Rattus norvegicus: one gene and its partners. The protein of the gene in region 1 purifies or fractionates together with the protein of each later gene. This does not show direct contact. Links are inferred from orthologs where the notes say so. Each region holds a gene or a part of one and is shown in the gene's direction. Other genes may lie near its edges.

Region 1 (3,983 bases):
ATTATATACTATGCATTGTTCAATTTGACAGTGCATTCGGCAAGCGATTTTACTAGGTTGTTATCCGCCATGTTTTTGCTTAGAAAGTTCAGTGCTGTAGACTGAAGCAGAGGATCATGAGTTGGAGGCCAATCTGGACTGAATAGCAAGCTTTCGTAAACAAAGATACCAGTATTGGAATGTTTGTGCTTTATGTGCGGGCTGTAGCCTTAGATAAATCAAGCTTCGGGTGTTCTGGTTACAATTTCAAGAGTCTCCAAGTGAAATGACTAAGATGTTCTTAATGTGTTAGGTATAGTACTGACTACTTTTCAAAATTACCTATTTGCTTTTTGAGACCACACTTAGCATAACCCAGACTGGCTGCCCAAGTGCTGAAATTACCTGATTCATGACATCGTGCCACCTCTTTATAGATTATTGATAAAAATTATTAGACACCCAGTTTGTATGTGAGAGAATAGAGGTTTGGGGGAAGTAATTGGAACAGCATCACAGAAGGAATAGGAGTCAAATCAAGACTTAACCTCTATTTGAAACTTCAGGACTTTGTGTGCATTTGTGTTTGAGGTCAAGGTCTTTCTGTTCAGATTATCCTGGGGCTTCCAGGCTCAGGTGGTCTTTCTACCTCATTCTTCAAGGTAGGTAGGACTGTAGGTTCTCTTGGTTCTAACAAGAATCAGCTAGTTACCATAAGTTACAGGCTTGGATGACTATAGAGCACCAAACTAGAAGGTACTTATTGTTTAAGTTCTGGTTACTAGGTAATCCACTGGAAATTCCCCAGCTTGTCCAGTGACCTGGGTTCAGTTTCTTAGCATTACAAAAAAGGGGGCTAATGTAGTTACTCAGGTCTACCAAACTGTTACCATACAGGAATTTGAAACATTATTGCCAAAGTGTGTCTTCCTAAAGTGCTGTGGATTGAATCTAGCAGTTTTTAAAAGAAAGTCCAGAATCTGAGCCTTTACATGAAATTTAGGGGTTAAATGTTTGCTGCTAACAAACAAACAAACAAAAAACCAACTATGTGGATGAAATAAAACACATTTTGACAAACACTTGGTTACTCCAGCCCTGGTGATAAGTCTTCATCTTCCTTAATGAGTTCCCAAGAACACGTTCCTGAAGTTGATGCCTTTGCTAATTGTGTTAAGTGTTTGAGTGTATTAAACTCATTGTGCTTGTTAGAGGGATGGTTCTATTTGAGGTGTTTCATTTGTATTATTAAGGAGGAAGCTATGAATTGTGATAACTTCATGCTTACAATATTCTCTCTAGACCTGGTGATGACTGGAAAAAGACTTTAAAACTCCCTCCAAAGGATCTAAGAATTAAAACTTCGGTAAGTGGGGTGTTCTATTTCAAATGGAAGTTACAAGTAAAGGAGTTACGTGAAATGACGTGGAATGTGTCGGCTTTGTTTTCTTTTGAGATATTATCCTGTGTAGTCCAGGGCTACTACACAATCTTGGTCTTTCCCGTAGCCTCATTGGTGCTGGGAGTATAGTTAGGTGTGCACTAGCAGGCTAGCACATGGGTAGTTAGGTATGCACTAGCAGGCTAGCACAGGGGTAGTTAGCTGTGCACTAGCACAGGGGTAGTTAGCTGTGCACTAGCAGGCTAGCACAGGGGTAGTTAGCTGTGCACTAGCAGGCTAGCACAGGGGTAGTTAGCTGTGCACTAGCAGGCTAGCACAGGGGTTTTTATGTTTGAGCACCTTTAGTTTTTTCACTACAACTGAAGGTTTACTGTTTAGCTGAGACTGTATGTGTTGAAATAGTTGGAACTGTATAGTTAATAGATACTGGGTTGCCAAAATTTTCCTACCAGTCTTTGATGGGATTAGACAATAGGTATAATGTATATTAAGTTGTGTGTGTCTGTGTGCGTGCACACATACATACCTTGGTTATTGTTTTGTTTTCTTTTTTTCCCAGACAGGGTTTTCCTGTGTAGCCCTGGTGGTCTTGAAACTAACTCTGTAGACCAAGCCAACGTTGAACACACAGAGATCCACCTGCCCCTGCCTCTGCATCTCTGTCTCTGCCCTCAGCCTAACTGCATATCATAACCTAATTTTCTCAGTTTCTTTTTCTCAGCCTGTGTATCAGTGAGATAAACAGGTTAGGTATTATAACTACTGTGTATGAGTGTATAAGAACAGGCGTTCAATGGGGTTGGGGATTTAGCTCAGTGGTAGAGCGCTTGCCTAGGAAGCGCAAGGCCCTGGGTTCGGTCCCCAGCTCCGAAAAAAGAAGCAAAAAAAAAAAAAAAAAAAAACTAATCAAATGTTATTTATGTAGAAAGAAATATTGTACTTTGCACTTTGGTCATACCTGGTTTTGCCCAAAGATCCATTTTTAAAGTGTGTTTATTTGTTGAAGGTAGTGTAGTTAGTTGTTCTTCAGGGAAAGCTGACATAGAGATTAAAGCAGTAGTAATAGGTGTCTTTATATTGAAGTGGAGAAAGGGTTCAGTCTGTCGGGCATACGTTTAAGCATGCTTACTGTGAAAGAACCTCAAATGTATTTTATTTGTTTGATTTAGGATGTGACCTCCACAAAAGGAAATGAGTTTGAAGATTACTGTTTGAAACGAGAGTTGCTAATGGGAATTTTTGAAATGGGCTGGGAAAAACCATCTCCTATTCAGGTATGTTTGTCCTTTTTGTTACATGAAGGTTATATAACATGCATTATACACTTCAGCAAATGTTTTCAAAAATACTTAGAGCTGGATGTGGTAGCATACACTTTTAATCCCAGTACTTGGGGCAGAGGCAGGCAAAGGCCAGCCTGGTGTACAGAGTAAGTTCCAGGACAGCTAGAACCACAGAGATCTTGTCTTGAAAAACAATAAAACAAAATAAATAAACAAATAATGTTCTCATGTATGGAGTGTTTTATCTGCATGTATGTCTGGTACCAAGCAAGAAGAGGACCTCAGAGCCTCTGGAACTGGAGTTAAAGATGGTTGTGAACCATAGTGTTACATGTCTTTTGTCTTTGTGTGTGCAAGGACAGTATTTTTCTGAAGAGAGTGTGTGTGTGTGTGTGTGTGTGTGTGTGTGTGAGAGAGAGAGAGAAAGAGAGAGAGCGAGAGAGCGAGCGAGTGCGAGCGCTAGTCCATCTAGCCTTGGATTTGAAGTATAGCTGGAAGTGATCTTTGAGCTCTTGTTTCTTGCCTCACAAATCTAGGATTATAGGCAAACACCACAACTCCCAGCTTTTTTCTTGAGCTTTTAAGGGTTAAATCACAGAATCCATTTCTTATGAGTCTCTTGGTGTTTATTTCCCAAGAATAAGGGTTGTGTGTCGTGTCATTGGTTGATGGTTTCAGTATTTTTTCTATTTATTTAAAATTTTATATTTTTATGTGTTTGAGTGTTTTGCCTGCATGTATGTTCATGTAGCACATGTGTGCAGTGCCTGAGGAGGCCAGACAAGGGTTTTGGATCCCTTGGAACTGGAATTTTAAGTGGTCTTGTACTGCCATGTGGATTTTGGGAATCAAATCTGAGCTCTCTAGAAGAGCAGCTAGTGTTTTTGACTGCTGAACCATCTGTTTAGCCCCTGGATTTTATTTTTAACATTTTGTGAATGTGCAGAGGTCAGACGCTTACAGGAGTCAGTTCTCTTTCTACTCTGTAGATTCTGGGGATCAGACACAGGTGGTTGTACTTTTTTCTATCAAGCTATCTTACTGGCTCTGTTGCTTTTTGAGACAGGGTCTTATGTATCCCAACTGGCCTCAAACTCTGTATCTAAAAGTGACCTTAAACTTGTAACCCTTCCATAGAAGAGCACTGGGATTGCAGTGCAGGCTTGTGAAGTCTTGTCTGGTTTATATAGTGTTGGAGATGGAAGTCAGTGTGTTCTGCCTGCTGGGAGAGCACTCTGGCAATTGAGCTGCATCCCTAGACTCTTCCACTTATTTTTTTAAATATATATTTCTCATGAGTCCCTGTGATTTATCTCAAG
Region 2 (3,983 bases), on another chromosome or scaffold:
GAAGCCCAATGATGCTGAGAGAAGAGGGAATGAATCAGGTACAGCCTTCCTTTCAGGAGGCCTTCAGCGGGGCAGGGCGGTCATACCGACAGATCTGCAGGGTGAGAGCTGTCCGCCCCCAGAGGCTTTCAGCAAAAGGGTGTTGGTGTGAGATCTGGTGGTGCAGGAGTCAGAAAGCAACTGGGATTCTTAATGGTTGTTACTAGTAGGGGTCTGTCCTGTCTAACCACAGGCAGACTGCAGACCCACGGCCGCCGTGCTTTCCCCCTCCAGGTTCAAAGCAGGCTTGCTCGTGCAGTGGTGTTTGGATGGAATGAGCATTGTCCCTGGGGTCCGGGTTTCTAGAACAGTCCTTAGAGCAATGACCAGCTGCTCCGGGAAGGAATCTGGAAATGGAGGAGTGTGGATCCCCACGGCACTTTGATGTTCTGTGTTTGCCAAGGGTTTTGAGGAGGCCGGTGGTTTTATTTTTAGCTACCCAGGCATTTGCTTAACATGAGGTGTCATTTCTGCTGAGGAATGATGAAGCCTCAGTTATAGCCGGCTTCTGCTCACCCCACCCTGGGCCCCAGATCACAAATGGCTGGTGTGAGATGTGCTTCCAGATTCCCGTCCTGAGGGAGACAGGCACAGGTGCCTGGCAGCACTAAAGCAGGATTCAGCCAGGAGCTCTGCCCTCCATCTGCCAGCATCGTGCACAGGCCGACTGCAGGCGCCTGATGCAGCTGCCATGGCTGAGCCCCGCACCAGTGCAGTCCACGGGGCAGGGGACAGCTGCTTCTATTTGGGACATGTTGTGACATGTGCACCTCTGCTCCACAGCGGAAGTCAAGCGTGTGGGAGACACGGTGCTGGGCATGGCCACGCAGTGTGTCCAGATGAAGAACGTGCAGAGGACCACGCCACAGACCCTATCCAATCTCTGCTTAAAGATCAATGTCAAACTGGGAGGAGTCAACAACATCCTGCTGCCACAGGGCAGGTGAGGTGGCCACACCCTGCACATACACCAGCTGGCTCAGTAGAGAGGTACTCACAGGTAGTTCATGTGGGCATAAGTCCCAGACCCCTCAGAGCCAGGGGCATCGGGGATGGGTGACTGTTAGGACTGGGCTCCCTAATAGTTGAAGGCTGGTGTGGGGCCATTGCCACCCCACTCTTTGTGCCAAGGCCAGCAATCTCCACTGGAGGGTAAGGAGAGTGAGTGGCCCAGGACAGGTCAGGAAATGGGCTTCCACAGACTTGGAAGTCTGGTCAGCTGGTCCCTGGAGCTTTACTGCAGTGTAGACTCTAGTGTTTCCCACTCTGCTCACCCAGGGCTGGTAGCTTGCTGCTAAGATCATAGTACTTGGGCTAGAAATTCTCTGTAGGGGCCACAATTGATGGGTCCTCTGCCTGGTCCAGGAACTTATTAGGCCAAGTGCTGGCTGCCAACATGCTCCACAAGGCTAAGGGATGGAGACGCGGAACTGTGTCTTCCTCACCCAAGGCAGATATGCTACCCTGGGTATTAGAGGTCAAGGCCCAAGTTACTGTTTGCCCCTCCTTGAACAGTGGACCTGCAGTTGAGGCAGAAGAGAGTGGTCATAGTAATAGCTTTTTAAAAAAAGATTTATTATGTATGTGAGTACACTGTAACTGTCTTCAGACACACCAGAAGAGGGCATCAGATCCCATTACAGATGGTTATGAGCCACCATGTGGTTTTGGGAATTGAACTCAGGACCTCTGGAAGAGCAGTCGGTGCTCTTACCACTGAGCCATCTCTCCAGCCCTCACAGTGATAGCTTTGGTTGAGGAAACTGTCTGTAGAAACTGAGAATGAGGGGCAGGCCTGTGCCGTGGGGGGCTGGCTGTGGCTTTAGGTGGAGCAGACTTGGGAGACCTCTTGTGTCAGTCTCTGCCAGGCCGATGTTGGGGACTGGCGCTGAGGAGCCCTGAATCTTTGGAGATAAGGACGGTGGACTAGATTGGAGAGATTAAAGGGGAGGAAAGGCAGCTGGTTGTCTGGGCTTTTGGTCTAGTTAGTGTCAAACACAGGGCCCTTCCTGAAGGAGGGGTAGCTTGGGCTGGGGCACTGAGCTCTGGGAAAGCACAGGAACCATGAGATGGGTGAGCATCCTTGAGTGAGTGCCAAGGAGATCTGAGCCCTGTGCCCAGGGTGAAAGCTCAGGGATGCTGGGAATAGAGAGAAGAGAAGGCAAGGAGGGGAGGCACTTGAGTCATGGCACCCAAGGAAGTATGTCTTGCATCACAAAATGCCAATATGCCGCACTGTGTGGTCTGATGATTGGACCCAGTGATAGGGAAGTCACTGGAGACCTTGAAAGGGAAAGCTTGTTGCCATGGCAGCTGGGTTGAGTTAGAAAGAACCTGGGAGTTACCAGCAGGCTGGGCTCATGGGAAGCTTTGCGCAGGTGTGCCTGGCTTGTGACACATTTGTCACATCCACCCATGTAGAAATACAGCTGCTACATGGCTGTACCTGGTGGCCGGGGTGGCAGGGCAGTGATCAGGATCTTTGGGTGTACTACTCAGTTCACCTTCAGCAGGGAGAGTGAGGCCAAGGGGCACAGGCATCTCGAGTGTGGTTGGCAGGACCACAGTGCCACAGACTACCTGTGTCTGAGAAGTGGCACCTAAGTCTGAGGCTGGGTGCAGGGCCCCCCCCCCAGGGGTGGTTGCAACCACAATGGAGATGAAAGGGACACTTGCTCCTCTCCCTGGAAAGACTGCATGGATCCACATGCTTAACACATAGGATTCTTTCTTACATAGTTTTACCCTGAGTGGGTGCTGAGGAGAAATCCTGCTGGTCTCACACACCGCACACACAGACACAGACACAGACACAGACATACACACACACACACACACACACACACACACACACACACACACACCACATATCACACACACACCACATATCACACACACACACACCACATATCACACACACACACACACACACACACACACACACACACACACACACACACACACAGGTCTCCACTGTGCCTGACTTTGATTGGGAGATGGCAATGTGCAATAGACACACTCCCCTCTGAGTGCCACAGTCTTCACACAAATGTGAAGTCACCTCACAAATCATGACCTAGGGTCTCACAGAGAATATTATCTGGACTCCACATACTTAGGGAGAAAGATGCCCTTCTGGCCTCCTCTCCTTGCACACAGTGTCACCTTGTCTTTTGGTTCTTTGTGATAGTCTCGGGACACCTCTTGAATAATCAAGTTTCTTTTGGCACAAAGTGCGGAGGCATACTCTTATGACGTCAGTATTTGAGAGGTTGTGGCAGCAGGACTCGAAGTCCAAGACCAGTCTGAAATATGTGAGACTGTGTCAAAACAAAGGGGAGAAAGGGCAAGAAAATTGCAGGAAGGCAGACAGACAGGATGGGTAAACCCCTTCCTGATAGCCATGCTGATACCATTATCCTCTGGCCATCAGTGGCAGCCACAAAGTTTTCTGGTGTCAAATGGGTGTGGAGGTGTGCCGCCAGCCTTGGTGTGCACTTCTCAAAGAGCAGTCACCATGGAAATAAAGATGAAGCTGCCCCTACAATGCAGGAGTCAGGACAAGCCTGGTGGACTTCTGGGTGCTGCATGGAGGGCTATCACTTTCTCTATGTCCCCTTCCCTCGACACACATACCACCACTCAGTGAGCATTCAGGCTGAAGGTCTCAGCCCAGCCAGAACCGATGGTCACGAAAGGAGGTGGCCAGGGTGCTGGGAGTTGGGAATGTACCCTGTGGTTAAGAACCAGGATGCAGGCTGGAGAGATGTCTCATGGTTAAGAGCACTGGCTGCTCTTCCAGAGGTTCCGAGTCTAATTCCCAGCAACCACATGGTGGCTCACAACCACCTATGATGGGTTAAGATGCCCTTTTCTGGTGTGTCTGAAACAGCTACAGCATCCTTATATACATAAAGTAAATAAATAAATCTTAAAAAAAAATA
Region 3 (3,983 bases), on another chromosome or scaffold:
TCTCCGGTAGAAGTTACTTCTTTATAATAAAATTTTTAATAGTTTTTCCATTATATTTTAGCCAAGGGTTGATGCTAAACCAGAAGTTCAATCTCAGCCACCACGTGTACGGGAACAGCGACCTCGAGAGCGACCTGGTTTTCCTCCTCGAGGACCAAGGCCAGGTAAGCTCAGCTTACTTGTGGGCTTTATTGGACAGTTGGGAAAGACTAAGCTTTAAAGGAAACTGTACTGGGTTTCATACACAGATCTGTGTGGAGATCAGACTACTTAGGGTTATGCTGCTAAGATAATCTAGGCTAACAAACAGCTGAGGAGAGGGTTTGCTGAGCTCTGTGGAAGTGTGGTTTGATAAAATGTGCCCTTTTACCATTTGCTGACTGTTGGTGCATTTAAGAATGGTAAGCTGAGCTCTTAGTACCCACCCAGCTCACTGTACACTCTTGTCTCACACTGATACCTCCTGAGCTGCACCAGCTTCTCATAAGTGCGTTGCTAGCTAAGGTGCAGTGAGGACCATTGTTGAACGCTGTAGGATTTAAGAGAGCTTTTCGGGGTTCGGGACCGGTGCAGCAGTTGCTCTTCCAGAGGGCTTAGGTCCCTAGCACCCACATGGTGGTCGGAGTTGTCTGTAGCTCCAGTCCTGGAGGTGTAGTGCCCTCTTCTGCCCTGCCAGCAGTAGGTATGTGGGTGGCGCACAGACACATGCAGAACGCCATACATGTTTAAATTGGACAAATAAACCTTTTAAAAAGAGAGAATGCTTTGGATGCAAGAGGGATATATATATATATATACTACTATGCCTCCAATTTAGAACTGTAATTCTGTAAATAAAAGTAGTGCATTCCAAGGTTCCAGGCAGTGGGTGGCATGTCTCAGCTTTGGTATTGACTGCCATGATCTAGGATGGCATCCTTAAGTCTGAGCTGCTCCTTCTTAAGCCATGTCGGTGTCAATGACGCTATCTGGTGTGGTGTCTGTCTTCTGTGACTTGCTATGGTATGAGAGGATTAAGTAAGACTGTTACCTTCCATAGTACTTTGGGAGGAAAGAGGCCTAAGAAAGGAAATGCTGGTACAGTTAGTATTGATGAAATGTGTTTTATTTTAAAACACTAAGGAGGTATTTAGGAGGAGTATTCCTTACTAACTGAAAGTCTGTTGTGGCCCTGGTTACAGGGTAATAACTGTCCTTTGAGTACTAGTCATTCACAGTCTTTTCTTTTTTTCGGAGCTGGGGACCGAACCCAGGGCCTTCCGCTTGCTAGGCAAGCGCTCTACCACTGAGCTAAATCCCCAACCCCATGTCATTCACAGTCTTATCCATAGTCTGCAAGTCTAGTCAGGATCTGTCCAGCTGTGCTCTCTGTCCACCTAATACACCTTCAGGGAGCACCTCTGCTTTACTAAGTCGGCGCAGGAGTTTTAGTATTGGTTTTTTTCTTTCTCATTTGTTTTTGTTTATTTAAGACAAGGTCTCATTGTATAGGCCTGGCTGGTCTGGAACTAGAGAGATCCTCTTGGCTGGTGTTGGGCCTTAGGGCATGTACCACTGTGCCTGGCACCAATAGGAGTTTCCTTTCTAGTTCATTTCTTTGTACTGTTTTTATGTGCTGTTGTAGGCTCTAGTGTTTCCTTTCTTCCTGTTTTAGGCAGAGGAGACACAGAACAGAATGACTCTGACAACCGGAGAATAATTCGTTATCCGGACAGTCACCAGCTTTTTGTTGGAAACTTGCCTCATGATATTGATGAAAATGAACTGAAAGAATTCTTTATGAGTAAGTGGTTTAGTTTGCATTCATGTTCTACTTTAAGTTGAAGTTTGATGGTTATGCCCTACATTAGAGAAACGTAGCTGCTCACCAGGGCTCAGTCCTCCTCCTCTTGTGGTCCTGACCTGCCCTCTGTGAGCAAGAGAATCTGGACTGGTTGGGGGTGTCCTGTCCAAGTGGACACAGGACTCCACGGTTTTCAGTACAACAACCCTACCATCTGACATAACTTGTAACATGAAGGTTTCCCTTTAAACAAAATGTTAGTGAATTTAAATAAAGCCCTAAAGGAAGAAAGAGCCTTTTTGTCATAATAAAACCCAGCTTTCTAAATTACTTACCTTCAGATTATATCTTACCTGCTTTCAGTCTCACTTTAATTGGTCAGAAGGGAAGAAATGATAATGATATCACAATTCCCAGTGTTTGGTCAGGTTCAGGAGCTGAGGAAAGAGAACTAACTGGCTGGAAGAAACAGTCTTACATTTCATTCTTGAGGACTCCACTGGTAAAACGGGGTGGGGAAAATGTTTGTCTTTCCAAAATTTGGCAGGCAGGGTTTTTGTTTTTCTCGTGGAGACAAGCATCTGCTAAGGTTGTGAGGGGTATGAGGTGGTGGCCCTCCCGAGCACATGTCCTGTAGCAACCATCGTGCATAGCAGCTTTGCCCTGTTTGTTTTCAGATGGATCAGAAACGTGACAGTTGCTCGTTCTGAACAGTTAAAGTCACTAGGATGTTTTGTTAAAATATTTAACCCTTGGTTGTAATGTATATTTTCACAGGTTTTGGAAACGTTGTGGAACTTCGCATCAATACCAAGGGTGTTGGGGGAAAGCTTCCAAATTTTGGTTTTGTGGTTTTTGATGACTCTGAACCAGTTCAGAGAATCTTAATTGCAAAAGTAAGTGATTTAAGGGGCATAAATAAAATTTTCTCTTTTTTGTTGTTTATAGGATGAATTGAAACATTTAAAACCATAGAAAATCCTTTTTATGGTAAAGCTAAAAATAGTTAATTGTGAAATGGTATTTATGCAAAGAATAAGAAGATAGTATTACAGTCTGCTGTATGGATCATTCTTTTGCTCAGTTGAAAAGGACTAAAGTTTATATTAAGACTTGTTAAAGTTTCTTATTTAAAAGATTTTTCTTATGTATGCAAATTCATATCTATTGTTGTGTAACCATTCATGTCATTTTTCTGTTTTAAAGCCAATTATGTTTCGAGGAGAAGTACGTTTAAACGTGGAAGAGAAAAAGACAAGAGCTGCCAGAGAACGAGAGACCCGAGGTGGTGGTGATGACCGCAGGGATATCAGGCGCAATGATCGGGGTCCTGGTGGTCCACGTGGAATTGTGGGTGGTGGAATGATGCGTGATCGTGACGGAAGAGGGCCCCCTCCACGAGGCGGCATGACACAGAAACTTGGTTCTGGAAGAGGAACCGGGCAAATGGAAGGCCGCTTCACAGGACAGCGTCGTTGAAATCCCCCTGTTGGCCAAGTTTTGGCAGTGGCACCTAACTCATCGTGTTTGCGTTCTTGTTAGGTTTGGCTTTGGAATGTGACACAGCCTTTTTGATCATTTCTTTGATGTGAAAAGCATCTTTTGGTTATCAGTTAAATTGAGGTGGACATTATTTCCCCAATTTCACAACAGGATTCATATTGTTAATTTATAAAGCTAGACTTGGAGAATTAAGGACTGAGAGATGACCATATCTTAAACTGTCTGCAACAAAATGAACTTTAAAAAAAGGACATGCCCACTGAGTTCAGGTCATTTGAGTTTAAAAAAAATCCTCTGCTGCACATTTTGTTTAAGTGTTAACTGTTTCTGCTATTAATGTTGGAAACACAAATAGTGCAATTTGTGCAATTGGAGAATCTTGCCTTTTTTCTTGGCTCCTCCAACCCCCAACACAAACAGAAACTTGTTACGTATTCATCAGAATGCACTGTCGGGTACTCTGAAGTCATTAACATTGAAATCTGCACCAGGAGGCAACAGGGAAATAAAAAGTTGATCTTCTTTTCCAGTAGAGAATAGTTTGTGAAATGATGAGGGCATTCTATCTGCTTGCTGTGACCAGCGTGTGCACACAAACCTTAACAAGACTGCAAATATTCCAGAAGGAAGTCCTTTAGCTATGAACGAAATAACAAAAACGAGAACTTCAAAAGCTGTGGTCTTAAATACTAGACCA
Region 4 (3,983 bases), on another chromosome or scaffold:
AAGCTGGTCTGGTCCTTAACAGTTTTTACAGCTTTTCTCCTGAGTGTCTTGGCAACCCAGCTTCCTTCCCTCTGAGGGGGGGCTATCAGCTTTTTATTGTAGGGTTGGCCCTAGTGAATCTGATCAGTTTCAGGGACTTCCTGAAGCTAATTAAGTTTTCATGTTCCTGCTTAATAAGGAGCTTTCTTCAGGTTGGGAAGTTTGTACCACAGTGCCACTGGGATTAAGAACCCCATGCCCAGCTGTCTAATTTGACTGACAGTCACCTCAACCAGGCTGACCTAACTTTGTAATCTTTCTGTACTGTGGGTTTAGACTTGTCACCTCACTCTACCTTAGACCCTGTTTTAATCTCATAGAGGGTGCTTGCTTAGGTCATGACACTGCTTCAGTGAAGTCACTGGTCATATCCTTGTTGCCACCAGCAAAGTGTGGCATTGTGGCATCAGGACTTTTGGTCCTTCCAAGTCTCAGGTGCCTGGTGGGCTTCCTTGGGCAGTCAAGGAACAACCCAACCAGCTAGAAGGAAAGAGTAGCTAAATTCTTAGGATTCTAAAGATTTCCAATTAAACCTGAGCCCTGGGATAAAGGTGTGGCGGTTTATCCTACTTTTAAGTTTTGTTTGGTTTTCAGTATAAAAATAGACAAGGCGTGGTGGCACATGCCTTTAATCCCAGAACTCAGGCAGTAGCAGACAGCTCTCGAGTTCAAGGCCAACCTGGTCTAAATATAGGTTCTAGGACAGTTGGGGCTATAGAGAGACCCTGTCTGGAAAGTAACAGTAAGGATTAAAAAAAAGTGGATGGGGGGCTGGGGATTTAGCTCAGTGGTAGAGTGCTTACCTAGGAAGCGCAAGGCCCTGGGTTCGGTCCCCAGCTCCGGAAAAAAGAACAAAAAAAAAATGGATGGGATCTAGTTTTCGATGCATTAACTAGGAACATGAGCTTAGTCCATGGTGAGAGTCTTGGTTCCCTGAGGCCATCTTGATACTTCAGAGATCTTTCTGGCATGGCAACAAGTCTTCTTAGTTGATTGGCATTCTTAATGAGTGAGTGTTCCTCCTTGACAGCTGAGAGGGCCTTGGACACCATGAACTTTGATGTGATTAAGGGGAAGCCAATCCGGATCATGTGGTCTCAGAGGGACCCCTCTTTGAGGAAGTCTGGTGTGGGAAATGTCTTCATCAAGAACCTGGACAAGTCTATAGACAACAAGGCACTGTATGACACTTTCTCTGCCTTCGGAAACATCCTGTCCTGTAAGGTAAGCGTCCGCCAAGGACTGTTGGCCGAATAGGAGTAACTGCTGCTTCTTGAAAACAAGATAAATGCTATGGCTGGGTGTGGTTTGTGCTCAAGGCTGCTGATGGGAGCTATCTAGGGAGTTCAAGGCCAGCCTGGGGATAGCATCAAAGGGAGGGTACCTTAGAATTCGGGACAATTGGGTGTGATAACTTTCCTATCACTGAGGGTGTTTTGGCTTGGTTTTAGTGTTAGCATTTTGGTGACCTGTGGTTTCGTTAAGGCATTTCACACATGTGCATATGTATCTTGATCATGTCATTCCCCAATTCTTAGCCTACTCCCCATAACCCCATCCTAATTCTCGACTAACCCACTGCTATCTTTGTGTGTGCGACCCAATGCATTTCATTAGGGTTGTTTACAACCCCCTCCCCCATTGCTATGTAAACCTCGGGTCTAGTGAGCTTTACCCACAGCCCTCTCTACTTTTTCGTATCTCACCAAGGTGCCTAGTGTGGTCTTGAACTTATGGCTGCCCCTAGTCTCCCAAGTAGCAGTTAACTCACCCACTAAGCTGGATCCCACTCTGGGAATGGAATTATCACAGAAGAGCATGTGGGGAATCTTAGCCACAGGTTTTTTGTTTTGGGTTTTCGAGACAGGGTTTCTTTGTGTAGCCTTGGTTGTCTAGAACCATCTCTGCAGATGTGGCTAACCTATAATAACTCACAGGCGGCCTGCCTCTGCCTCTCGAGTGCTGGGATTAAAGTATGACACCGGGCCAGGTGACTTAGAGCTCTGTATGGCATATAGCCAAGGATAACTGAACTTCTGGTGTTCGCTAAGATTACAGGTGTGTGCTGCCGCCCCCAGCTTGTATGGTACAGGGTTGAGGCAAGCAGTCTGCCAGATGAACTCCAGCTACTTGTAAGGTGTTTTGTGTACTTTCATGGTACCGACTGTTGAAAGTTTCCATTTGGGATTGGGGTCAGCAGCCCCTTGTTTCTGGGAACCTTACTCAGCCGCTAACCTTCACATGGTGGCTGCTGACACACTCAGGACTTGACTTTTGTGCACTTGGAAAGCACTTTTCTGAGCACCTTGGTTTGTACCTGATCTTTCTGGTTTTTCCCTGTTTTCTATGCTGTGATTGAACCCTTTGCAGTGCTCGAATACTGAGCTAGCCTCCAGTCCTGCCCCCTCTTTCATTAAGTTTTTATCTATGAACAAGTTGTATCTGGGTGTTGCCTGTGGATCCCAGGGAATGAGCCAAAGACTTTTACTCATTGAACCTTCTTTCCCTTAAACCCCCGCCCACCCCCATACACACTTTGAGCAGCATCTTACTGGGCTGGCCTCAGATGGCATGTTGTGTGGGTGAGTGACCAGGAAGATGATCAAGGTTCCCATCCCAAGTGCTGGTATTACTTTCTTTCTTTCTTTTTTCTTTTTTTTTTTTTTTTTAAATAAAGGAGCACTTGAGGGGAAAAAAGGAAATTTCCTGGGCTAGGCAGGAAATTCATTTGGTAAAGTGTTTGCTGCATGGGAAAGGATCTGAGTTACATTCCCTAGAATCCTTGTTAAAAACTGGGCAGGGGGGGTTGGGGATTTAGCTCAGTGGTAGAGCGCTTGCCTAGGAAGCGCAAGGCCCTGGGTTCAGTCCCCAGCTCCGAAAAAAAGAACCAAAAAAAAAAAAAAACTGGGCAGGGGACCATCCACCCATGAATGCATGATACCAGTGTTGCAAAGGCAGAAACAGGATTCCTGGGGCTTGCTTGTCAGTCTGGAGGGAACCTGTATCCAAAAAACCCCCTGAGGCTCACCTTGCTGGCACAGAAACACAATGTGGGCCAGAAATAGACTAATCATGGCAGCCGTTGGAAAGCAGGGTACTTGGTAGTGCTGGGTCCTGTGAGGTCCGTACATCTGGCCAGTGGCCCCCAGGTGACCTGCCTCCTCTTCAACAGGTGGTCTGTGATGAGAACGGCTCTAAGGGTTATGCCTTTGTCCACTTCGAGACCCAAGAGGCTGCCAACAAGGCCATCGAGAAGATGAATGGCATGCTCCTCAATGACCGCAAAGTGTGAGTGTCCCAGTCTGGAGCGACAGCCATCGCATGAGCCAGCCATGGCCCCACCTCGGTATTAACTGGCACACACAAGGCGGCTACTGGTTCTCTCGGCCCAAGTGTGGCCTGCTCCTACCTCTCCACTCCAGGGCTGGTGAGTCTCCCTGCCCGAGCCATGGCAGCCCTTTTGACTTGCCACAGTCGGCTCCCTGCCGAGCCATGGCCTGCCTGCTGCCTCTCCCTTAAGGCATTCATCTGGGTTTTGTGAGCGTCAGCAAGTGGGGCTGGCTAGAAGACAGCTCTGAGCCCACTCTGAGCAGGGGTCTCGGCCAGCGGCAGAGTGGAGAGGCCCTGGGCTGACCAGGAGCTGGATATTAGTTATAACCTCAGCTTTCCTTCAACTCATTCCTACCCGTGGGGCTCTTGCTAGTTTTTGGCACCAAATTGTCCTCTAGTCTTTCCTCTGAGCTGTGACATTTCACTGTCCGTTGTTTAATTGGCATACTGTGAAAAAAAGCTCATCCCTTTTCGGATCATTACTGTGGGGTTGGGGACAGCCATGGGTATTTTTTTTTTTTTTTTTTTTTTTTTTTGCATTTTGTACTATTGCATTTTGGCTATTACAAGCAACAATCATTTCTGTCCTTTGGGGTGTGGAATAGGCAAGGCTT
Region 5 (3,983 bases), on another chromosome or scaffold:
GACTTTTACTGAGTATGAATTAAAGTTAAAATAATTTCTCAAGGTATCCTTGGCATCTGTGGAGATTATTAAAATATCACAAGTTAGCTAATATCTCTATCATTTTTAACAATTTCCTCAATTAGGAAATGCCTACAGTGTCTGTATTAGAATATGCCTTGCCTCAGAGGCCCCCACAGGGCCCAGAAGATGACCGGGACCTTTCTGAGCGAGCTTTACCAAGGCGGTCAACATCACCTATCATTGGAAGTCCTCCTGTTAGAGCTGTTCCTATAGGCACCCCACCTAAGCAGATGGCGGTTCCCAGCTTCAACCAACAGGTACCTTTCATTAATGTACACAGCCCAGAATATTGGGAATCTGGGCAAAATTATTTGGGGTTCTGGGAGGAGGGTGGACGTTGTGGGTAGGCATTAAAAGAATAGCCAATTAGAGAAGATAGTATAAATGAGACACATTCCCTAATTCCATTTGCTGCTGCTGCTCCTGCTGCTGCTGCTTCTACCTTCTAACTGGGGGAGAAAAGAGTAGTTAAGCACATTAGTACATATGTCCTTTTTTTAAAGTGTTTTGCTGGCTGCCGGGTACATTAGCAGAAAGAATACTGAAAGCTGGGGGGAGTGGGAACACTCAGCATTGTCCACATCCCTTTTTACCTTTAAGATATCCCTGCTTTCCCTAGAGCCTGTGCAGTCCTGTTCCATAGACTTTCCTCCACCTGAAACCAGCAGCTGAAAAGGAAGGCCAATTTGGAAGGTATGGGGGGAGGGTGGTGTTGGTATGGCCTAGTTAGGCTCAATATCCTAAGAAATGGTGGAGTCACAACATTGCTGAGCATGGCGGCCATATCACCGAGGCTTCAGAATAGGACTTAGTTAATCCTCCAGCTTTCTTATCATTCCTTCTCCCTTAATACAACCAAAACAGATCCTCTTGGAGAAAATTTTCAAGTCAGAATGTCTGCTGGTACTTCCCTCAGATAGCATGGAAGGGTGGGGATACTGGAGAATTAGCTAAATCATCTTCAGTTAAGATAAAGTGATTTATGAGAGGAAGTGACCAAAGGTTCTCTTTTTGAACTCATAGCCAGAGCAATTTGCTTAGAATCAGGGTTTTGCATTGAGTTCTGTGTCTCTACCAGTACTCGAGGGGAGGGAGTGTAGGAAGGCAAAAGACTGATTTCATTGAATGTAGTTGTGTATCTGTTTGTCCTAATAGATTCTGTGTCCGAAGCCTGTTCATGTCCGGCCCCCAATGCCACCACGTTATCCTGCTCCCTATGGTGAGAGGATGTCTCCAAACCAGCTCTGCAGTGTCCCGGTATGTCTCTTTACAACATAGCAGGATTGTTTAATGTGAACTTCATGTTCACCATTAGTATTTAGTAGAGCCGACATTTATTTCCTAGATTGTATGTATTCCTTGTAATCTCCATTTTATTTTCTAGAATTTTCAGTCCCAAGGTTAAAGGACAGAAGTTTACTCTGTTTCTTGACACCTTTAAGATTCTAAGCTCAGCTAGGCATTGCTATGTAATCCTAGCACTCATTAGACTGAGGTAAAAGCAATCTTAATTCCAAGCTAGCCTGGTCTATATAGTGAATGAATTAATTCCAGGCCAGCCTGGTCTACATAGTGAATGAATTAATTCCAGGCTAGCCTGGTCTACATAGTGAATGAATTTCAAACTGAGCTACTTAGCAAGTCTCGTCTCAACAAAAAGAAGCAGCACAGAAAGATTCTAATTTCCTTTTTAACCTCTGGTTTCTGCTGCCTGAGCCTTGGCTGTCTTTTTCCTGTTACATGGACATAGTGTTTTGTAATTTCTAGCATTCTTTTCTGATATTAGGCTCACGGGTTTGGGAGTTTTTAATATCTAACTTTATACCAAATTTATACTGAGTTTGCTTGACATATTGATGTTTGTTCCATAATATGAACATAAAATCCCTTTTTTGTGTCCTCAGAACTCCTCCCTCCTGGGCCACCCTTTTCCTCCTAGTGTTCCTCCTGTACTCAGTCCTCTGCAGAGAGCACAGCTTCTGGGAGGAGCACAAGTAAGCCTACAGTTTACTGAACCCATAAAGATAATCCTGTTGTCCTAAGATTAATTGCTCGACACCTTCTTCTTTCGCTGTTAGCCACTTTTCCCGCCCCCGTTTTGTTTTCTCAAGTGAAGTTATTAATGAAAACTGTTTACTTTTGGTGGTGCATGCCTATATTCCCAACACTTAGAAGGCTGAGTTAGAATTACGCATTTAAGGCCATCCTGGGCTATATGGGCATTCCCAAGCAGTCTGAAATACCTAATGAGTCCCGGTCACAAAGGTGGGTGGGGCCAGTGACGATTGCTAAGTCTACATCAAAGATCCCGTCCCTCTTTGCAGCTACAGCCTGGACGAATGTCTCCCAGCCAGTTCGCACGGGTCCCTGGATTTGTTGGTAGCCCATTGGCTGCCATGAATCCTAAGTTGCTACAAGGGCGTGTTGGGCAGATGCTTCCTCCAGCACCAGGCTTCCGTGCCTTCTTCAGTGCTCCACCCCCTGCCACGCCACCTCCACAGCAACACCCTCCTGGCCCAGGACCTCACCTCCAGAACCTAAGGTAGGGAGGGAGAGCATGCCTCTGCCTCTGACGAGCCACTGTCAGCTGTCCTTTAAAGTCCTGATACTTGCTCATACGGTGTTCGAGGAGTCGAGGATTCTTAGTTGTCAGAGAACTGCTTGAGCCTTCAGGCTGTACGCTGCTCTCAGGAGTGTCATGCTTCTTTGCACATGATAAATTGACTGCTGCTTTTACTTTTTCTGAAATTTCACTCCATACCATTTTATAAAGACTCGTGTAGTAAAATTATTACACAGTGCTGATGACTAAGGAATTGCCACAAACCTCAGGTGCAGACAGAAGCCAAGAAGCCAGCTGACCTCAGTGCCAGCTGAGTTGCTTGCTTCTGTGTTATGGTTTGATAAGGAAACAGACTTGGTTTCTGCTTTGGTAAAATTGTGTCTTATATAAGTCACAGCAGTTTATGTTCTTAAGAGAAAAATCAGTAAAGTATACATAAATGTGGGGAAAGTTAATTTTAGTCCAAGGAACTGACTGGCAAATTGGAAACCCATGTAGCAGACTAGAAACTAAGAGTCACATTGCAGTCTGTCTTTGAAGTATGTCAACCAGCAGGCTAGATACTCAGCAGAGCTTAATTTCCTGATAGAGGTTACTTCTGAGCGACTTCTGGTTTGGGCTATTAGACGTCCCTGATTATGGAAGGCAGTTTTTTAAAGTCAATGGATTATAAGTGTAAATGTCTATAAAATGCTTTCATAGCAGTTTCTATACAAGGATTTGGTTAAACTTTGGTCAGGTTGACATGTAAAATTAACTGCCACCATACACTTTCTGTCCCATTCACACACAAAAATTAAATACATTAAAGTATTAGGGATAAAAATTTGTATTGTTTTACTACTAGTGCACTGAGTTTCATAGTTACCCTCTTGGGTTTGAGAATTGGTCATTGTGGAAGAAATATAAAAATATGGCTTTCCCTTCTAAAAGTCTATTTATAATACACTGGCTATCCCTTGAGTGAACCTATGTGAAGTTATCCTGTATTGACAGCCTTTTTTAAAATAAAGTCAATTAAGATGAGATATCAAGGACCATTTTCCTTTTTTTTCTTAGACCTCAGGCCCCAATGTTTAGACCAGACACAACTCACCTTCATCCACAGCACCGGCGCCTGCTGCACCAGAGGCAGCTGCAAAGTAGAAAGTGAGTATTCATAGTTTTGTTTATGTGGCCCTAGGATACATAAAGCCTCTGCCTTTTATATAAAGCCATTTTATAATTATGTACCTAGATAAATTAGGGAAACTAGGTATAGTTGTGAAGAACTTTCAACATCCGCTTTTTCTATGTATATATGTGTATAATTCCTTCTCACTTCCAAAAATGTGCTAGTATATGTATTTTTGCAGGA
Region 6 (3,983 bases), on another chromosome or scaffold:
TGAGAGGTGGCAAGACCTTATCTTCACCCAACAATAGGCCTTCTGGAGAAGCTTCTGTTCCTCCAACATCTGCAGGTAGAGAGCTTCAATGAGGCTTGGCTAGCTTGTGGGTAGGCGGTAGTAAATGAGTCTAAAGTCGTTGAAATACTGGGAAATAATATTTGTAGATGCTTGGTGTGTGAGGGTACGGTCTTGGATTTTATCTTCCATTTTCTGTTTCTATCTCGTCTTTTTCCAGTTAGGGTTTCTCTGTGTAGCCCTGGCTGGCCTGGAACTCCGTAGACAGGCTAGTCTCAAACTTAGAAATAACACCTGCCTCTGCCTCCCAAGTGCTGGGATTAAAGGCGTTCAGATGGATTTAATTTAATCTTTTTAAGAAAGAACTTTTTTATTTTTCCTGGGTTCTAACCTGTCAGTTCATGGGTTGTCAGGTGTTCTGTTGAGACTAGTTTTTTTAACCAACATTTTAGGACAGGAGAAGCTATAGCATTTCCAGTCTTTTTGTAATACCCAATGAAACCATTTGCCTGCCCTGGTCTTAACACAGGAAATTGTGGCCCTAGGTGTAAAAAATGCTGGGGCTGGGGATTTAGCTCAGTGGTAGAGTGCTTACCTAGGAAGCGCAAGGCCCTGGGTTCGGTCTCCAGCTCCGGAAAAAAGAACAAAAAAAAAAAAAATGCTTATAAATTTTCTTTGGGTTTCCCCCCTATATGCACTACTTCCTGGCCAGCAGTAACCATTGTATAGCTCTCCCTTTTCTTCCAGTGGGCCGGATGTACCCTCCACGGTCTCCCAAGTCTGCTGCCCCTGCCCCAGTCTCAGCTTCCTGTCCTGAGCCTCCCATTGGTTCAGCAGTAGCATCCTCTGCCTCCATCCCTGTGACATCATCAGTTGTGGATCCTGGAGCAGGCTCTATTTCCCCAGCATCTCCAAAACTCTCCCTGGCCCCTACAGATGGTAAGAACCAGTTGTAAATGCTTGAGAACTGTGGGTGTGACTTAAGAGCAGGAACTTATTGTCTCTCTTTCCTCAGTAAAAGAACTCCCAACCAAGGAGCCCAGTAGGAGTTTGGAAGCCCAAGAGCTGGCCCGCATAGCTGGGAAAGGTGAGGGCAATTTTACTCTGTAATCCCATTTAGTTGCAGGAGTGTTTCCCTTAAGAAGTCCATTAGGATTTGAAAGCAGTGCCCATCTATCTGTCCTTGGATATCATTTATCTTTCAATATTCTCAAGAGCTCACTCTTTGGTTTCTTGTTCTGTACTACTAACTAGCCCTGTGTGATCTTTCAGGGGGGGAAAATGTGTCTTTTCTCATTTCACTGTTTCCTCAGTCCCTGGCCTTCAGAATGAACAAAAACGCTTTCAGTTGGAAGAACTGAGGAAATTTGGGGCCCAGTTTAAGGTAAGTGAAGCATGAAAAGGAGCTAGGATTTATGCAGGCTGTGGGGTATGTAAGGACAAAGGCCAAGCAGATGGGAAAGATGAGATTGAGCAAGAGTGAATGTAGGAGGTAAAGACTGGGGTCTGGAGTGGACAGTATGATATGTGAACTATTTCTCCTCCCAGCTTCAACCTAGTAGCTCCTCTGAGACGGGCCTGGATCCATTTCCTTCCCGGATCTTGAAAGAAGAGGCCAAAGGAAAGGAGAAAGAAGTGGATGGTCTATTGACTTCAGATCCTATGGGATCCCCAGTCTCCTCCAAGGCAGAATCCATATTGGATAAGGAAGACAAAGTGCCCCTGGCAGCAGTAGCGGGGTCTGAGGGGCCAGAACAGCTCCAACCACCTTGCCCCAGCCAAACTGGCAGTCCTCCAGTGGGCCTCATCAAGGGAGATGACAAAGAGGAGGGCCCGGTTACTGAGTAGGTGGTGGTGATGGATGGTGTGAGGGAGGGATCTTTGGTGCTTCTCAGCTGTTGCAGGACATGACTTAAGAGCTCGCTTTACTTTCTCTTACAGACAAGTAAAGAAGTCTACTTTGAACCCCAATGCCAAGGAGTTCAATCCAACAAAGCCTCTGCTGTCTGTGGTGAGCTGGGGCTATTGCATGCAGACTTGGGTCTTTTTGAGGGGACAGTAGAGGAGAGCACTTGACTGTCAGGATAGCATGCTGTCCCATAGTGTGAGATGGCACTTCAGTCTGGAAAGGAGCAGTTGGACTGCTTTGGAAAAGCAATGATTATCTCCAGGGTTGAGTGATGAAAGCTGTTTATTGATTACTTTGGTTCTTACTATTTGGCATGTCGAGTGTATGAGGAGGGTTAGGACTATGAGCTTGAAGGAATCTACTGACGTGGCTTTAACGTGTACTCGTGGGGCTTCTAGATTTCAGACAACCACTTAGAGCCCTGTGAATGCCCATCTTGTGATTTGCTGTAAAGCTCTTAGGAAAAAGTGTAGGATATATTTGGCACACATTAGTCCATGGATTTGAAAAGGCTGAAGTGGGATTGCAGAAATATAATGTCTCCCCTTGTCCCTTACAGAACAAATCTACCAGTACTCCAACTTCACCAGGGCCCCGTACTCATTCAACACCTTCCATACCGGTGCTGACAGCAGGCCAGAGTGGGCTCTACAGTCCCCAGTACATCTCATATATACCTCAGATCCACATGGGACCAGCTGTGCAGGTAGGAGAGACTGAGTGAGCCCAGGGAAAGTGCCCACTGTCCAGGTCAGACTGTTCCAGTGTTGATGAGCACCTGCTGAGCCCTAGTTCTTCTCCTTAGGCACCTCAGATGTATCCATATCCTGTATCCAATTCGGTGCCTGGGCAGCAGGGCAAGTACCGGGGTGCAAAAGGTGAGCAGGGTTGGGAAGGGCAGCTGGGGCTGCCTAGTGCCTCTTGGCAAGCGAAGACACCTGAGCTTTGCACTGTCTACCCTCCACCCACAGGCTCACTTCCCCCCCAGCGCTCTGACCAACACCAACCAGCCTCAGCCCCTCCAATGATGCAGGCTGCTGCTGCTGCTGCTGGCCCACCCTTGGTGGCTGCCACACCTTATTCCTCCTACATCCCTTACAACCCACAGCAGTTCCCAGGCCAGCCTGCCATGATGCAGCCCATGGCACACTACCCTTCACAGGTACAGAACACACCTCTGAAATCCACTGAATAGTGGTGGCTAGCTGTGGGATTGGCAGTGTCTGACTTGGTTAAGATGTAGTTCCTGTAACAAGACATTGAACTTCCGCTCCCAGTTTTTCCTTTTGAATTAAGGTGGTTACTGTCTTTAAGATAACTATTGAGACTTGTGTTGCTATGCACAGAGAGGCTGACAGGACATTCCAGGCAGGTCTACTTAGCATATTGCTTTCTTTCTTCACCAGCCGGTGTTCGCCCCTATGCTTCAAAGTAATCCACGAATGTTGACATCGGGAAGCCATCCCCAGGCCATCGTGTCATCCTCCACTCCTCAGTACCCTTCTGCAGAGCAGCCTACCCCCCAAGCCCTTTATGGTGAGTTCTGGTGCCTACTTTGTCACTGGGATGTTTGAACCGCTATCCATTTGGTGTGCTCAGTACTAGGTCTCCCTTCTTTCCCGCTGCAGCCACTGTTCACCAGTCCTATCCACACCATGCCACGCAGCTCCATGGCCACCAGCCTCAGCCGGCCACCACTCCTACTGGGAGCCAACCACAATCCCAGCATGCGGCCCCCAGTCCCGTTCAGGTGCCTGTAATGTGGGAGTGGGTTGGAAGGTCTGAATGGTCAAACCAGGAATTGGGTGGCTGGAAGAGGGCTTCAGGAGAACTGGGTCATTCTTCAACAGAGAAACAGTATGAGCCTATGGTTTGCCTGCATAGCAGAATGGGTGGCATTCATACCTCACTTCTACTCCGGCAGCACCAGGCGGGGCAGGCCCCACACCTGGGCAGTGGACAACCACAGCAGAATCTGTACCATCCAGGGGCCCTAACAGGCACGCCACCTTCTCTACCACCGGGACCTTCTGCCCAGTCCCCTCAAAGCAGCTTC
Region 7 (4,779 bases), on another chromosome or scaffold:
AGAATACTCCTCACTAGTGTGGAACTCTGAGCCATTCCCTTCTTCCCCTCCAGTCTGAATCAAATCAGCATTAAACACTAGGTTCCCACCTTGCCACTGGGCCATGAAGCAAACCTCAGCCCTTAACTTTACTTTCCCAAGGAGCACCTCCTCATCGAAAGCAGCAGTTCAAACCTCAGCACCTTCTTGAAGCCTTCCTACTGCCTTCAGAAGTTGGCTCAAGGCACCCCAAGACCATGTTCTCAGCACAGAGATTTATGTGCTCCAGGGGGAGAGAGAGCAGGGATAATGAACAAAGGCAGGAGATAGGAAGGCAAGGGGCTAAAAATTAAAGGGGTTGGGAGGAGAGGGGTAAGAGATGTTTGGGAAGGAGACAAAGGACTCTCTAGATATAGAGGAAATAGATGTGGTCCACGGGCAAATGGCAGTTTATAAAGATAAAAGGGGAAGCCCACGTTAGGATGATGTGTTTAATTTTAATTGGGCATGTTAATTAGCCAAAGGGGGCTTTTGATTGCTAGACTCCAATACTTTGATAGCCAGACCTTGGTAGTCAGCCTCAGGAGAAATTAATCTCTTATTAGGCTAAATTAAGGAACAGACCTTGGTGGCTAGTGTGAGGAATGCAATCTAACAGTCTTTAGCAAGGCAGAGGAAACTGGGGAGAAGGGCAAGGCCTGCCAGAGCCACGCCCACCATGCCGGAACTGGTTAAGAGTTCCTTCACTACCTTTCCTGGCTCAGACGGAAATAGACTCCACCCTCTGGAATTCAAAGAGAAATGTCTATCATGGGGTTATTTGCTTGCTTTTCGTTTCTCCTGGTGCCAAAAAGAGTTGGAAGCTTGGAACTGACAACCACTCTATAAGATCAATGAATGTGTACGTGAGCAAAGGGCGAACAAACCATAAGCTGTTCCGACTTCTTGCCTCACACGTGTTTCCGAACGGAAAGTCTGCCCTTCCATTAGCAAATGATCTTGGGATGTAAAACCACAAGCAACACAAATATATGGTGGTACTTTGATGGAAATGTAAAGTTTATCCTTTCAAAAACGTTCATTTGTGCCGAGATGTCCTCAATAAAGAAAAACGATGGTTTTTAAAGCAGCTCAATGAAAATAGGCTGAGCACGTTGTTTTACTTTGTAGTACCTGACCCCTTAGGATGCCCAATAATGTTGGCTTTTTAAGAGATCTACTTATTATTTAAGTAATAGGTCTTTCTATATTGCTTTTTTTTTCTTTTTTTCGGAGCTGGGGACCGAACCCAGGGCCTTGTGCTCGCTAGGCAAGCGCTCTACCGCTGAGCTAAATCCCCAACCCCGTAATAGGTCTTTCTAGAACAACAGAAATATTTATTTAGGACCCAGATGAAGGAAAAGACAAGCCAAAGAGGGGAAGCCGAGTACAGTGTAGTTCCAGGCAGGCTAGTTTGGCTGCTTTGAAACATTTCTTTCAAAAATTACCAAACAGTTAAGAGTGAAAGTGCAGCTCGGAAGTAAAGTACAGCTCCCTTTCCTCACTTGGTCTGAGTTTTCTCAATGGTCCATGAAAACCTCACTTCCACAGCAGCAAGCATTTCGATTCAGGGTATGTGCTGGGCTGCGGTCTCACTGGCAGGAGTCTGGAGCACTCAAGGAACAAGTTCAGATCCCGCCAGGTGAGAGAGGAGGACTCCGGAATGTCGGCTCGCCGAAGCTCCACCGCGCAGGCGCGGACGCCTGTACCTTCCGGCAGCCGCAGACCTAAAAAGATCGGAACCAGGCTCCCAGGGCATAGGAGCGGCGGATCAGATTAACTGAAGTACCACCCTCGGCAAGGCAGGTCGGATAGGCGGAAGTGGACGGCTGACTGAGCTGGGGGAACTTTGCCTGGATGGCACTTTCCTGTTCTCCAGTCCGCCCCCGCCCGAGGGGCTCGGCCTGGAGATCCAAGATGGAGTTGTTGAGTCGAGCTGAGCAAGAGATGAGTCTGGCGGCCTTGAAACAACACGACCCCTACATCACCAGCATCGCAGACCTCACGGGCCAGGTCGCCTTGTACACTTTCTGCCCCAAAGCCAACCAGTGGGTGAGTGAGGCCCAGCCGTGGAGAACGCCAGCCTGGCCGCTGCCGCCTCTTAAAGGGACCGCGCAGACAGCTTAGGATTGGGGGTGGGGTGTGGAGCAGAGTAGGACCGCAAAGGCGAGGCCCGAACCTCTCCCAAAGGTCCTTCCAGAGCCGAAGAGATGACGGGGGAAAGGGGAGGGACACGCGGAATTGGAGGAATGAAGGGTAGGAGTACACCAGAGACATAACAGGGAAATCAGATGGAGGACAGGAATGAGGCAGGATCAGTCTTTTTGGGGTCGGTTCTGGAGACTTGAGGTTGCATTGGCAGGATATGAGACAAGTTAATTTTTTTTTCTAACAAGTGATTGAAAACCTGTGTTTGAGACTTTGAAAACTATTAGATAAATCACGTGTTCTTGATTGCAAAATCCACTCCTCTTTCCCTGCCGACCTAAATGTGATGATTTGGATTTGAAGCTTAAAAATCAGTCTCAGGAGTTAGTCCAGCTTTAGCAGAACTGGTATCACCGGAGTTTAAAGAAAGATTTCAAGGCTACTTCAGTAAGAATTGGATTCCTTGGAGACGTTTTTACAAGAAAAAAAAAAAAAAAAGAGACCGGTGATAGGACGTTTGATCGCTCACTTCTTAGTTCTTTTTGGATTTTGTGAGTGGCATGGAGTTCCAGAAATTACATTCACTGACTTTAGTTAACCTCAACTTGAAGCACCTATTTACATGATGTCCTATTTCCTCCTGATGCTAGGCAGACACTGTACTGTTCCTCTACCACTGGGCTATATACCCAACCCAAGTTACAGTTTCTTAATCACATTTTCAGGCGTTTATTTTAAAAACCTACCACATTTGTCTAAGGCAGAGAATGGTTTCTATCCACGAGTCTTAACAAAGTTCTGAAAATATTAAATTGTGTTTGGTCACCACAAAATGTGTAACTCGTGAAAATAGTCCTAAATTCTCCAGAAATGAAACAGTATCTTAGAAGAAAACGTCCCGAGGGTTAGGGATTTAGCTCAGTGCTACACAGCTGTGCATCATGAGGCCCAGGCTCTGAGTTCAACCTGGTATCCCTTTTGAAGAAAGTTTCCATTCTTTTTCTATAAACCTCAATAGACTGCTCAAGTTTGGTTTGGTTTGGTTTTTGGTTTTTTTTTCCAAGTTTTTGGTTTTTTAAGTTGCAGTAGACAATACCTTGACTGGAGTATTAAGATACCTAGTTGAAAGGTTTTAGTGTTTGCAGAGAGAAGCTGGGGCAGAGAAATGGCTCAGTAGTAGCTAAGAGCATTTGGTGCTCTTCCCAAGGACCTGCCTCAATTTCCAGCATCCCCATGATGGTTCAGACCCATCTGTAACTCCAGTTCCAAGACGTCCAGTGCCCTCTCTAAGCTCCACGTACACACATACATGTGTTACAAAGAAATACGTATGCTGACAAAAGAGCCCTACATCTTTTCTAATTGAAAAAAAAATTTAATACATAAAATAAGTAAAGCTAAATCGCTTTTTTTTTCCCTTTAAATGTTCCTCACTGGCAAAAATAGACATGTGCTACAGATGTACACATATTGTTGGGTTGGACATACATAAACACAGGGGTGAACAGATACATAATTTGTTTAGATTTCTTTTAAAAAGTGAATTGCTTTACCTGTTCAAACGTGACTAATTTGGAGGCTAAAGAGACAGCTCAGTGGATGAAGTGCTTGCCTCCCCAGCTTGAGAACCTGAAGTATTCACACAGAAAGCTGGACGTAGTAGCTTGCACTTACGTGTCCTCTGGGGACATGGAGGCGCTTATGACACAACACTGGAGCTCACTGACCAGGAAGTGCAGCTAAATTGCCCATCTTCTGGCCAGTGAGACCCCCTGACTCAAAAGAAGGAATGACGCCTGAGAGTGACCGATGGCCTCTCCAGTTGTACACAAATGCCAGCGTGCATTCCCTTGAGCACATACACGATCGATTTCACAGTAAATAAGACAAGTTGGCCTGAACGTGTAGGTGCTTCACCAAGATCATTTGACCTTGGATTATTCCTGGAAAACTGACAGAGTCGTTGTCTGTTACAGGAGAAGACTGATATAGAAGGGACATTATTTGTATACCGAAGGTAAGTGGCTTAAGGATGTTTCTACTTCACTTGAATGGTGGTGATCGCTGTGGTGGAGCGTGGTCCGTTTCTATCGTGTATGTAGCTTTGGAGCCTTCCTGTTTATCTTCTTCCAGTTTTCCCCCACCCAAGCACTACAGTCCTACTACAGCTGCTGCTCTTCTTCCCATGTTAAAAAGAATGCATACGTACGAATGTCTGCGAATATAGTATAGTACAGTAGCTATAAAGTGATTGAGATAGCACTCTTGCCGGTCTGTAGTTTCTGATGAGAATTTGCCTTCTGTGGCTGGTTCTGCCCCTTTCCTGCCTCTTCCCAAAGTTCTAGGTCATTCCTAATTCATATACATTTTACTTTAAACTTCTCTGAAAATTCTTTTTTTTAAAGATTTATTTATTATATAGGAGTACACTGTAACTGTCTTCAGACACACCAGAAGTGGGCATCAGATCCCATTACAGATGGTTGTGAGCCACCATGAGTTCACCCTGGGATTTGAACACAGGGCCTCTGGAAGAGCAGTTAGTGCTCCTAACCACTAAGCCATCTCTCCAGCCCCGAAAATTAATTCTTTAAATGGTTGGTTTGTAAAGGT

The links.
Region 2: the proteins of Ddx6 (region 1) and Ago2 purify together in Homo sapiens (affinity purification with western blotting; 5 studies listed by BioGRID and IntAct, with this or other methods). This does not show direct contact. The link is inferred for Rattus norvegicus from reciprocal best matches to the Homo sapiens genes DDX6 and AGO2.
Region 3: the proteins of Ddx6 (region 1) and G3bp2 purify together in Homo sapiens (affinity purification with mass spectrometry; 3 studies listed by BioGRID and IntAct, with this or other methods). This does not show direct contact. The link is inferred for Rattus norvegicus from reciprocal best matches to the Homo sapiens genes DDX6 and G3BP2.
Region 4: the proteins of Ddx6 (region 1) and Pabpc4 purify together in Homo sapiens (affinity purification with mass spectrometry; 3 studies listed by BioGRID and IntAct, with this or other methods). This does not show direct contact. The link is inferred for Rattus norvegicus from reciprocal best matches to the Homo sapiens genes DDX6 and PABPC4.
Region 5: the proteins of Ddx6 (region 1) and Patl1 purify together in Homo sapiens (affinity purification with mass spectrometry; 6 studies listed by BioGRID and IntAct, with this or other methods). This does not show direct contact. The link is inferred for Rattus norvegicus from reciprocal best matches to the Homo sapiens genes DDX6 and PATL1.
Region 6: the proteins of Ddx6 (region 1) and Atxn2l purify together in Homo sapiens (affinity purification with mass spectrometry; 6 studies listed by BioGRID and IntAct, with this or other methods). This does not show direct contact. The link is inferred for Rattus norvegicus from reciprocal best matches to the Homo sapiens genes DDX6 and ATXN2L.
Region 7: the proteins of Ddx6 (region 1) and Dcp1a purify together in Homo sapiens (affinity purification with mass spectrometry; 8 studies listed by BioGRID and IntAct, counting the BioPlex papers as one, with this or other methods). This does not show direct contact. The link is inferred for Rattus norvegicus from reciprocal best matches to the Homo sapiens genes DDX6 and DCP1A.

Annotation. Positions count from the first base shown.
Region 1 is NC_086026.1:53,834,889-53,838,871, forward strand, and holds part of Ddx6 (probable ATP-dependent RNA helicase DDX6), read left to right. Parts: intron 1-1,281; coding exon 1,282-1,345; intron 1,346-2,550; coding exon 2,551-2,655; intron 2,656-3,983.
Region 2 is NC_086025.1:106,927,875-106,931,857, reverse strand, and holds part of Ago2 (protein argonaute-2), read left to right. Parts: intron 1-822; coding exon 823-982; intron 983-3,983.
Region 3 is NC_086032.1:16,298,969-16,302,951, forward strand, and holds part of G3bp2 (ras GTPase-activating protein-binding protein 2), read left to right. Parts: intron 1-61; coding exon 62-164; intron 165-1,654; coding exon 1,655-1,783; intron 1,784-1,860; exon of another isoform or gene 1,861-1,987; intron 1,988-2,560; coding exon 2,561-2,679; intron 2,680-2,989; coding exon 2,990-3,262; 3' UTR 3,263-3,983.
Region 4 is NC_086023.1:140,851,461-140,855,443, forward strand, and holds part of Pabpc4 (polyadenylate-binding protein 4), read left to right. Parts: intron 1-1,069; coding exon 1,070-1,263; intron 1,264-3,211; coding exon 3,212-3,327; exon of another isoform or gene 3,328-3,466; intron 3,467-3,983.
Region 5 is NC_086019.1:218,265,651-218,269,633, forward strand, and holds part of Patl1 (protein PAT1 homolog 1), read left to right. Parts: intron 1-125; coding exon 126-320; intron 321-682; exon of another isoform or gene 683-756; intron 757-1,218; coding exon 1,219-1,320; intron 1,321-1,967; coding exon 1,968-2,057; intron 2,058-2,387; coding exon 2,388-2,605; intron 2,606-3,685; coding exon 3,686-3,775; intron 3,776-3,983. UniProt on the Homo sapiens protein: RNA-binding protein involved in deadenylation-dependent decapping of mRNAs, leading to the degradation of mRNAs. Acts as a scaffold protein that connects deadenylation and decapping machinery.
Region 6 is NC_086019.1:190,510,384-190,514,366, reverse strand, and holds part of Atxn2l (ataxin-2-like protein), read left to right. Parts: coding exon 1-75; intron 76-747; coding exon of another isoform or gene 748-765; coding exon 766-957; intron 958-1,033; coding exon 1,034-1,105; intron 1,106-1,331; coding exon 1,332-1,402; intron 1,403-1,566; coding exon 1,567-1,862; intron 1,863-1,959; coding exon 1,960-2,029; intron 2,030-2,486; coding exon 2,487-2,633; intron 2,634-2,732; coding exon 2,733-2,805; intron 2,806-2,898; coding exon 2,899-3,089; intron 3,090-3,333; coding exon 3,334-3,463; intron 3,464-3,555; coding exon 3,556-3,677; intron 3,678-3,851; coding exon of another isoform or gene 3,852-3,857; coding exon 3,858-3,983. UniProt on the Homo sapiens protein: Involved in the regulation of stress granule and P-body formation.
Region 7 is NC_086034.1:5,661,527-5,666,305, forward strand, and holds the start of Dcp1a (mRNA-decapping enzyme 1A), read left to right. Parts: upstream 1-1,910; 5' UTR 1,911-1,935; coding exon 1,936-2,070; intron 2,071-4,142; coding exon 4,143-4,183; intron 4,184-4,779. UniProt on the Homo sapiens protein: Necessary for the degradation of mRNAs, both in normal mRNA turnover and in nonsense-mediated mRNA decay. Removes the 7-methyl guanine cap structure from mRNA molecules, yielding a 5'-phosphorylated mRNA fragment and 7m-GDP.